2 linked regions of the Schizosaccharomyces pombe genome follow. Changing the gene in region 2 together with the main gene of any one other region gives a genetic interaction. Each region holds a gene or a part of one and is shown on either strand. Other genes may lie near its edges.

Region 1 (4,873 bases), on a different chromosome or scaffold from region 2:
TTAAGAAGCTTCAACGTATAGTAAATTAAGATTTTTAACGATTTTTATTTTATACTTATCTTAATTTAGAAGACAAGATAATCAGCATATATCATTAAATTGTGAATATCGCAAGACATCACAAAAAATGTCATACACAAAATCACTGGGTTTCCGTTCCCCAGACCAAGATATAATTGTTTAATTAATCAGCTTTCAGTTTAACTCAAAAGGTTTAAAGAATTCAGTCAACATGCTAAAAATTTTAGACGCTGACCTTCGATATGAACAAAAATTTTCAGTTACATTTATCAAAGTCTAATCAATTGTAAATTTAAGTAGACTATATGTCACTCTGATTTGTATAAAACGAATGCTTATGCTTTCTTATCCAAATGGAGATAATAAGTAGAAAGAAAGCAACAAACAGTTAATCAATGAAAACACTCGTACCATAAATTTAAATTCGCGCATGCTCTATAAAATAACTTTCTAAGGTATAGCAAGCCAAACTATGAATCTAATTGTAATTTAACATTTAAAATTTAACATAAGGCTTTTCTTTTGCATGCCTAGTTTTCCTTGACTATTAATAATTTAACACAAAGTAGAGTAAATTCACATTCCCAAATTTTGTAAAAGAATAGTTCATTAGGGGGGCTATGCTATATATACCTTTTTGCTAATTAGCACGTCACAATAATCGTGACTGCTTTACCTTAGCAACGCCTACCTTAGTTAGCTAGGTTATACTAATAAAGTCTATAGCGAGAAAAAGCATAGAGAGCGTTATTTCGTCAATTTTAAAATTTTTATTAATTATCGCTGAATAAACACAAACTAACCGAAAACTGTCCCCTTTTATTAAAGCAAACGAACAAAACTAAATATTTGGCCAAACCTGGTAACAGAAGCAGTAACCAAGGTATATTAAACTTTTCAAAAGACGAAGGGAATCATGTTTTAAGTATTATAAAATTATATGTACCAAGAAAAAAAGCAAAGTATGCGGCATTATGATTTAATTAAAAGATTCCATTAAAATACCAGCTCTTCCACTTGCTATCACATTGAACTTTGCCGTCCTTGCCATAAAATAATTCCAACCTATCAATTTCATCAGCATCACGACCCTTTGTTTCAGGAAGCAAAAGTGTGAAAAGAATGCCACCCCACATGCATCCGCAGAAAATCCACATAACGTTACCATATCCAATAACACCGGTCAAAAAGTTAAAAAGAAGTGATGCAAGAATAGCGCCACATTTACCCAAAGCAGCTGAAACACCATGAGCAGTACCACGTACGCGTGCAGGGAAAACCTCAGCGGGATAAATAAAAGTGGTGGAGTTGGGACCAAAGTTAGAAAACAGTTGGGCAATAACAAAACAAGCAAATCGACCACCAGTGGAAATTTCGTTCCAACGTCCTGCCAAAATTGCAAACATCAAACCAGTAATCACGAAGCCTTGTAGTTGAATCCATTTACGTCCAAGAATTTCAACAAGGAAGACGTTGAACCAGTATCCAGGAACATAGCCGGCAACAGCGATAATCAAGTTGCCAATTGCGTTTTTCATCAATGTGCGGTATTCGTTCGTACCAGTACTGAAGCCAATATTCTTGAGAATGACAGATTGATTAAGATTGACACCGTAAAAGGCAATATCCAACAGAAACCAACAAACAGATGTACCCAAAAGATGCTTAAAATGACGCCATTGTCTGAAGTAAGTGATAAATCCACTGCTGTTTTCAGGGGTTGTAACTGCGGCAAATTGTTTTTCAATGTTATCAACTTCAGCGTCAGCAGCATCTGCTTGATTAGCATAACGATCAGAAGCTTCGACAACCTCGGAGTCACCATGGCTAGATGACTTCTTCATATTGTCCTCATCATCGGTATTGAAGAATGCCTTTGGATCTTTTCCTTCAGCACTATTAAGTGCTTTAGAATTCTCGTATGATTTAGATTCTTTCATGATGAGACGGGGAATAAGAACACCAATAGCAGGAACCAAAGCAAGACCAAATTGAAGACGCCAGACACCTTCGAGTTTATGATAATGACCTTCCCGATTCAATGGATGTTCGAAACAACCCAAAAGGATGATGGTAACAATGGCACCAGCAAGAGTTCCGAAACCTTGGAAGGCAAAAATTAAAGAAATAAGTGTACCACGTCGTTTAATTTTACTACGCTCAGAAGTGATAGCGGCAGACATTGGATAATCACCACCAATACCTACACCGAGCAACCAACGCCAACAGAAAACCCACATCATTTTCGAAAGAGGAGAATGAATGCTTTTAGGCATAGCGATAACCAGAACAGTAGCGATGATAACAATAACCATTTCTTTACCGTAGACAAATTTACGGCCAAAGAAATCACCCATAAAACCAAATAACAGTTGTCCAAAAATGTTACCAATATTGGCTGACGCATTTACAAGACCACGAATACCAGAGGGATAATGGCCTTTTCCTGTGGGACCTTTTTCAATACCACCCCAATAAAGATATTCAAAAATGGGAGTAACTAAATTGATGATAAAAAGATCGTAACTGTCAAGGAAAAACCCGACACCTGCAAGCATCATAAGTTTAAATTCGCGCTTTGTCAACCCCAAGTAATAGCGACGCTCTTGCGCACCCTCTTCGACTTGGTCGAGAGGTACTGCATCGTCGTTATACTCATCAGACTTAGATCCAATGTTTAAAATTTTGCTCCCAAATGCCATCTTGTGATTTCCTTGCGTTCAAAATATGAGAGAAAAGGAAAGCAATGAATGATAAAGTAAGTCTTAATCGCTGCTTTATGCAAATTAATGAAGTCCGAATGCGGTTGCAATTAGAATTAAGAAAACTGAGTACCGGTGGTTTACACACACAGATAATTCAGTATGCAATGGAGCAATATATATAGTAAACTACCAGTTTGTCAGATTGGTGGCTTTGTTATAGAAAAAAAATTAATAATTAAGATCAAAAGCTTTGGTGTTGACGTTCCCTGGCAACCGGCACATTCACCACCTGCTTAATCTTATTTCAAAACAAAATAGCAAAACAGGAAGAAATCGGAAATGCAAAACACTATGTTTATAAGTAAACCGTCCAATTTGCTTTGTAACTGATATGAATCCAATAAGGAAATATAAAAAAATAGTAAAAAAATATTAACAATTAAAATTTTCTATTTCAGGATTAAGGTAACGCGGTGTTAGAAAACTGAGGGAAAGTAATGGGTCAATTTGGTTTAAGATTTGCACTTTAAAGTAAAAGAATTAGCACTAGCGGACAACTGCAAAAACAGACAATTATACTAAAGGGGTATCAGTTCATAAAAAAGTTGCAAAAGTGGTAATACCCTCGTTAGACCCACTCGGAAATCTTAAGTTAATAACGTTGACATTACTAATTGAGACAAAATTGTAGTTAAGAGACAAACTCATACTGCAGAGAACTCAATACGGTATGCATTCAAAATGAAATTTGCGAAAATAAAAATCAGTATGTCATTATACAATACAGAATTGGCCCAAGTAAAACACGGTTTAATCGTCGAGCTGTTTGGTTTTTTCAATTCCATGGAAAGCACGCGATGTCGTTGTTTTAAAACCAGTAATCGGCCGGTTTCAAAAGTATACATTCCAGAATACCACGGATTGATGCTGTGTAGCTCAATGCATGCCCACACACAGAACACCCGGATAAGTTGGTTCCGATATCCTCCAACCCGATAGGATGTTGGGTGATAAGATTTCTTTGACAAAATAGACATCAACAAAGCATGCATGCTTCCACTTCCATTAAACTCGGCGAACGGAAATGCCGCCATCCTACAAAATTCCCCTCACCTCTCCTATTGTCGGTCTTTGAAATTAACAACTACCAGGTACCGAGCAGAATGTTCTGCACGGAATTGACCTGACAACCGGCATCCGCACAAAACAGCCACTTCAGCAATTTCGGTTCCAAGTATGTTCCATTCATGCACGTAAACCGTAGTTTATTTTAGGAACCTCAGTTTACCGAACGCTAAAATTTATTAGGCAGCATATACTGCCGAAGCAAAAAGATGAACGGATACGAGGATTTTACCGCCCGCCACCCTTCAACAAGTGTAATGGATATAAGATGATTTGATAGTATTCGAAAATTTTTGAATTTTCGTGTCGAGTAGCAAATTCCATTGTTTTACATTCTTGCTATCTAATTAAAAGCAACGATGAGTTAATCTTTCGTGCATTATTCTAGTTCGACAAAACGCAGAATAATTTTCAAGAAAAGACCGTGGAAACTAATTAATTATTATAAGGACAGATGTCGATATTAATAAATTTCAATTTCTAACGATTTTCATAGTTTAATTTGTTATGAATTAATTCTATCTCATCCTCTATGACTTATTTCGTTCTATTTCATACTACCAATGCGTTTAAATTAAAATTAAAAATTTGAATAGTTAGGTACTCAGGCTTCTTATATAGCTATTGATGCAGTGTGTGACGTCATTTTTTTAAATTGAAAAAGGGGGTTTTTGACAGGGTAAGATTGTGTACCGTTCGGTATGCAAACTGAACTGGAAGATTGGAAAAATTAAACCCTTTTCTGAAAATAATAGGAATTAAGTTAGGATAGTCGAAACAATTTCTTCCATATAACTATCGTGATCAGTCAAGGGCAGTTTACTAATTTATTTCCAGCGTCGTATATTGCCGAATTCACACGCATTTTACTCACATCGTTCGAAGATAAAAAAAATATAAATAATAAAAATTGAAATTCGTGTAAGCGAAAAGGAATGTGTGAGAAGGATTTTGGACTGTTCTATTCTCATGGGAATGTGAAGTAACTACTCTCTTGCTACCATAGTTGCTTGTTGTGACTT
Region 2 (4,857 bases):
GGAAGTTTCTTTTTTGGATTCCAATAGCCTCCAATTTTTCGTTTGACCGCTATGTTCTGCTTTTTCCACTCTATAGAGGCTTTGTTTGAAGCTTTGAAGGTAGAGCTTAAACGGCGAAAAATCAGAGTAGTATAGTTGAATATATTCATCAAAAAAATCCAAACGTTTCCTTTTTTCAGTCTATGTGACCTTTAAGTAATGACACTATATATTCCATTACCACTTAGAATATTTAGTAGCTGGTGAAGTATAATTACTTCCACTTATAACAAAAAAGTACAACGCTCAAAACTACTCCGATATTAGGTTGAGTTAGTAATAGTTGTAAACAGCCTTAAATTACTCCGCGAAATACTCGGATTTAAACGTTGTCAAATATCTTAAATCTTGTTCATTCGGAGTTTTCAGTGAAATCGTGGCAAAGGACTTCTTGATGCTCCGGTAAAGTCGGTTTTAGAAAGCAAAAAACAGCTTTTGCTAGTGTTCCAAACACAAAAACTACTACCCATAGCACAATTATTCATTAAAATCTGTGAAGAGAGACATATTAAACACTGTAAGTGGGTAACTTAGGAATTGAGATAAAAGCATTGTTTTTCGGACTATCAATGTTTAGTTGCTGAAAGTTACGTTAAGTTTACAAATACATCAGAGGTTGACTACAAGAACTTCCGAATAATATGAATAATGAGTTCAAATTTGGTAAATTTAAGTTACGAATACGATTTCCTAAAACATTACACAGCTTTTGTAAGCTAAAATTCTATAAATGTCTATTGTCTATGTTGATTTTTAAAAAATATGTTCGGTTTAGTAAAGATTAATGGTATGTGATGAGCAAGTATTATGTACAAGCATTTAAAAAAGCTAAATATAAGAAAAAACCGAGAATTATAAGCAAACGTTTATAACAAAGAAACACACGAAAATGCTATTTACAGCAATAAAAGTTAGGTGAGGAAAGAAAAATAGAAAGTTAGTATGCAAATTAGGCAAGGAAAACATAAAAAAACAGATAATCAAATATAGTGAGTAAAAAATAGTCCTGAGCCTTTAAGAGAGGGTTGGGAATTTAGCGGAAACAAATCCGTCGTCTATCTACATTATCACACAATTGTTCTGACCTGATACAACAGAAATTGAAGAAGGAGTAAACGTATCGTTCTCATTTTCTTCAAACTTTTCCTTAATCTCTCTTGGGAAATATGTTTTCATAAAATTCATCAAGGCGTGATCAATATTGCGAGAATCGGCTTTCATAACTTCTTTGGCACGACACAACGGACAGAAATCAACTTTCTGTTTCTGAAGAATGATAAGGCAATGCAAACAAAAAACATGGGAACAACCTAATCTCACCGGCTTGTAAGCAACGTTAGAGCATATAGCGCATTCAAAATCCCTCAGTTGAGGAATAATCGAGAATAGCTTAGAAGAGAGTGAAAAGCATATAGCTTTAGAAGCATTGTCGACCAAAAGAAGAGGGTCTGATTCGATAACTTGAAAAAATAGAGGTTGAGCGGTTAAGGATGTCCGCTTATCAAACTTTTTCATGATCTTCGTAACGGCTAACTTATTCATTTGCTGAAAAGAAGCAACTTTCAACAAACTTTCATTAAGTTCAAGAAACTTAGCATACAAAATACGATCACGATGCTTTGAGGAAGAGGGAAGACATTTTGCTAGCCTGACCTGATCGTCAAACCATTTCAAATGGCGCTCAGCGAGCTCGGGAGTGCGTTCATGACTCTGATCAGCTTCCTTGCAAGAAATAAATATATCGGAATCCATATAAATTTCGAAAATTTTTCTCCAGCAATAAAGAGATTTGTATTTCTTTTTGGAATTAGGGGAAGCTATAAGAGATATTTCATGACTCAGGATATCAATTGCGTTAAAAAGAATTTTACGCTGTTCACGCTGTAGTCCTTCAACACTTTGCAACTCCGAAGTTAATTTTTCAAAAAACTCGTGGTCACAGTTCAACGATATTTCCATACTTTGAACTTCGGACATGTCAGAACTCATAGTTTGAGTATCGATATCTTCATCAACCGTTTCACAAGTCTCTACGCTCTGAGATGATGCGGACACACTTGGTAACGTATTGGTAGGGGGCTGCTGAGTAGAATCCGAAGGAGTAGAAGGAACATTTGAGGCATAATTACTCCTGACGGTTGTAATCATATTTGATGCATTCAACTGCTTGAACATTGAAGCAGCGAACTTATCAGTTTTCAATTTATCAAAATTTACGTTGATAATAATTTTGGGGACAACAATGTGTCCCTCTTTGCCAAGGGAGTAACTAAGCGTAATAGCTTGTTGGGGATCCACGGTAGTCGGAGCCATCAATTTACTGATGGTCTCAGCACTTAGACCCAAGGAAGACAGCTCAAAAACGAACCTTTTAATACATTTTTTTAAGGCCTTGTACTGAATGGCAGCCTCGCCCCAACCAGGGGGCATATCGTTTTCGAGAGCCCTTTTAAAATCGTGTCCAAATTTCATATCGGAAGGACTTTTTTTCAATGAAAATGAAAGAGGATGAAACCTTTACAAAAGATTGAAATCAAAATATTTGAAAGGCGGTAAAACTACAGAATAAAAAACCAAAGCCCAAGAAGGAGAAAGCTTTGTGGTTTTTATAAAAATGAGTGCTCCGACCTTTGCAATCGAAGTATCGGAGTTAAGTATTTTCTTTATTACAAGCAGATGGAGAAAGAAAGCTTGCAAGATAGAGTTTCGCAGAGTTGAATTGCGTACGTTTTGATTAAAATATATATATATTAGTAATGGAATGAAGTGAAGAAAAAAGTAACAGCCCAAAGACCTAAAAGCTGCTTGTGATAAAACAACAAGCTACAATGGGACGAAATTAGATAGAATAGATAAATGGAATGGGAATGAAAATAAATAAAATGATTTTCTAATACCACGTTTCGAATCAACCGAAACCGTCGTTCGCAAACGGAGACCTGCCTGGCTTGATTCAACCAAAGGTACGTGAGTGTTTAAAATTGTAAAGAGATGCGTAACTCCTTAATACTTATACATATAGTAAATGAATTTTCGATACTATTTCAAAAGTTTTAACACTGTACTAATCGTCAAAATCCTTGTTGGTTCATGACAGGTGAAAATCCTTGCAGTCCTTTCGCATCCTTATATTGCACCGCGTTAGACGACGCAAGGTGGCAAACCAAAGCATTTCCCCCTGACGTCATAAAAAGAGCGGAGGAACTTGCGGTATAGGTAATACTACCCAACCGCACTCGGGTTCGCAATGTTATTAGTAAACGGCCTTCCGGTAAGCCTTACAGTAAAAGGAAAGGAAGCAGGGGCAATTGGAAGACCAGCAGTGGTACGAAATCTTCCTTAGCTTTATAGAATGAGGCTTGTGCTGATTGTCAACAATTTGCTGACAATGTGTGAAACGTACAGAGTTGGGTTGTTGAACAAATGTTCTGTAGCACTGTGCCAAAAGAGAAAAAATAAAAAAAAATAAAAAAAAAAGAGAGATAAAGGATAGTCGGTAAGAAGTTGAGCCTCTTTGTTTTCCTCTTTTTTGTATTGTTTTTAATTTTGTATGTATATGATAATAAGTAGGTATCTAATTATATTTGATTGATCCGATTAAACCGGACTATGACTGTAATAACCATTTTATTCACGATTAGTTAACGGTGTGCCACAAAAAACTAAAACAGATAAGGGCAAGTTTCGTATGGAATTATTGTACATTATCGTATTGAGTAAGTAGATAAACGTGTTTGATGACTATAGACATTAAAAGGATTATCGAGATTGTAAAATTTTGGTTTTTTTACAGATTAGAAAAAAAAAGAAAAAAAAAAAAAAAAGAGGAGAAGGACATGTTGCAAATCCGTGAGTCAATAAAACAATTCTGGAAGAAGCAATTTTTTAGTATTCACAATGTAAAGGAAAGGACGACAATTACAATTTCATTGAATAATCCCAAGCTATAGGAGAGACTTAAAACGAGTTTGAAATATTGAAGAATATAGAAGGATAAGAAAGTCGATTAGTATGAATTTTGAGATTCTATTAAAATATGAATAGCAGCAATTGTTAAACTATCAAAATTTTTCTTTTATTCATTATACAATGCTATTTACTTATTACGGTGAAAAACTAACACGTCAACCTCAAACAATTTAGGATTTAAACTTTCGCTTTCCAATCAAGTTTAGATTTTTATTTTCCCTAAAAGTAGTCTTCTCATTTGCACATGATTTTGTAATGCTAAGCTTGGGGTAAATGAAAGAGACCTCCCTTTTGTAAAAGAAATCTGCGTAATGCTTATAACATCGGGTCGTAATTGCTTGACTCAATAATGTAAACAAATTTTGTTAAAACTATTTGTCCCTTGAAGAGGCAGTGTTATATAGTCAGATTAGCAACACAATATATTAAAAACATCGAGGAAATTTGCATTAATAAATGCGAAATTTTCGTATTCTATATGAGCGAAACCTTAGCTAAATAGTATTGATTAACTCAGAAAAGACCAAGCATTCATAGCGAAATTAACATGAAAATTCGTGATAATAGCCTTGCTACATGAAGGCAAGAAGTTCGTTTGTTTTTAAGCAATGCAAGCATGGCATTATTATTAGCGCATTGGCTTCTTCTAAAAAACACAATCTTACATTTTAATTCGGTTGTGGAAAAATTTGATCTTTAGTTCAATGTCTTTTGTAAACTGATAATTTTAACTTCATTTTTTGGAAATGTGCATTTTGCTAATGCATATATAGCAGCAAGACCTTAAATAACAATATAAGTTTTCATGAGAACCATGTTTTCTTAATTAAGAAGACAGTAGTTTGTAAA

Evidence for each region.
Region 1: of pqr1 (region 2) and pho84, a mutation in one rescues a mutant of the other (synthetic rescue), as found in Schizosaccharomyces pombe (one study listed by BioGRID).

What each region holds. Positions count from the first base shown.
Region 1 is NC_003423.3:4,442,102-4,446,974, reverse strand, and holds pho84 (inorganic phosphate transporter), read right to left. Parts: upstream 2,875-4,873; 5' UTR 2,724-2,874; coding exon 1,005-2,723; 3' UTR 775-1,004; downstream 1-774. UniProt on the Schizosaccharomyces pombe protein: High-affinity transporter for external inorganic phosphate.
Region 2 is NC_003424.3:2,420,693-2,425,549, forward strand, and holds pqr1 (ubiquitin-protein ligase E3), read right to left. Parts: upstream 3,135-4,857; 5' UTR 2,512-3,134; coding exon 1,099-2,511; 3' UTR 754-1,098; downstream 1-753. Other genes in the region: protein Rrg9, read right to left, coding at 1-149.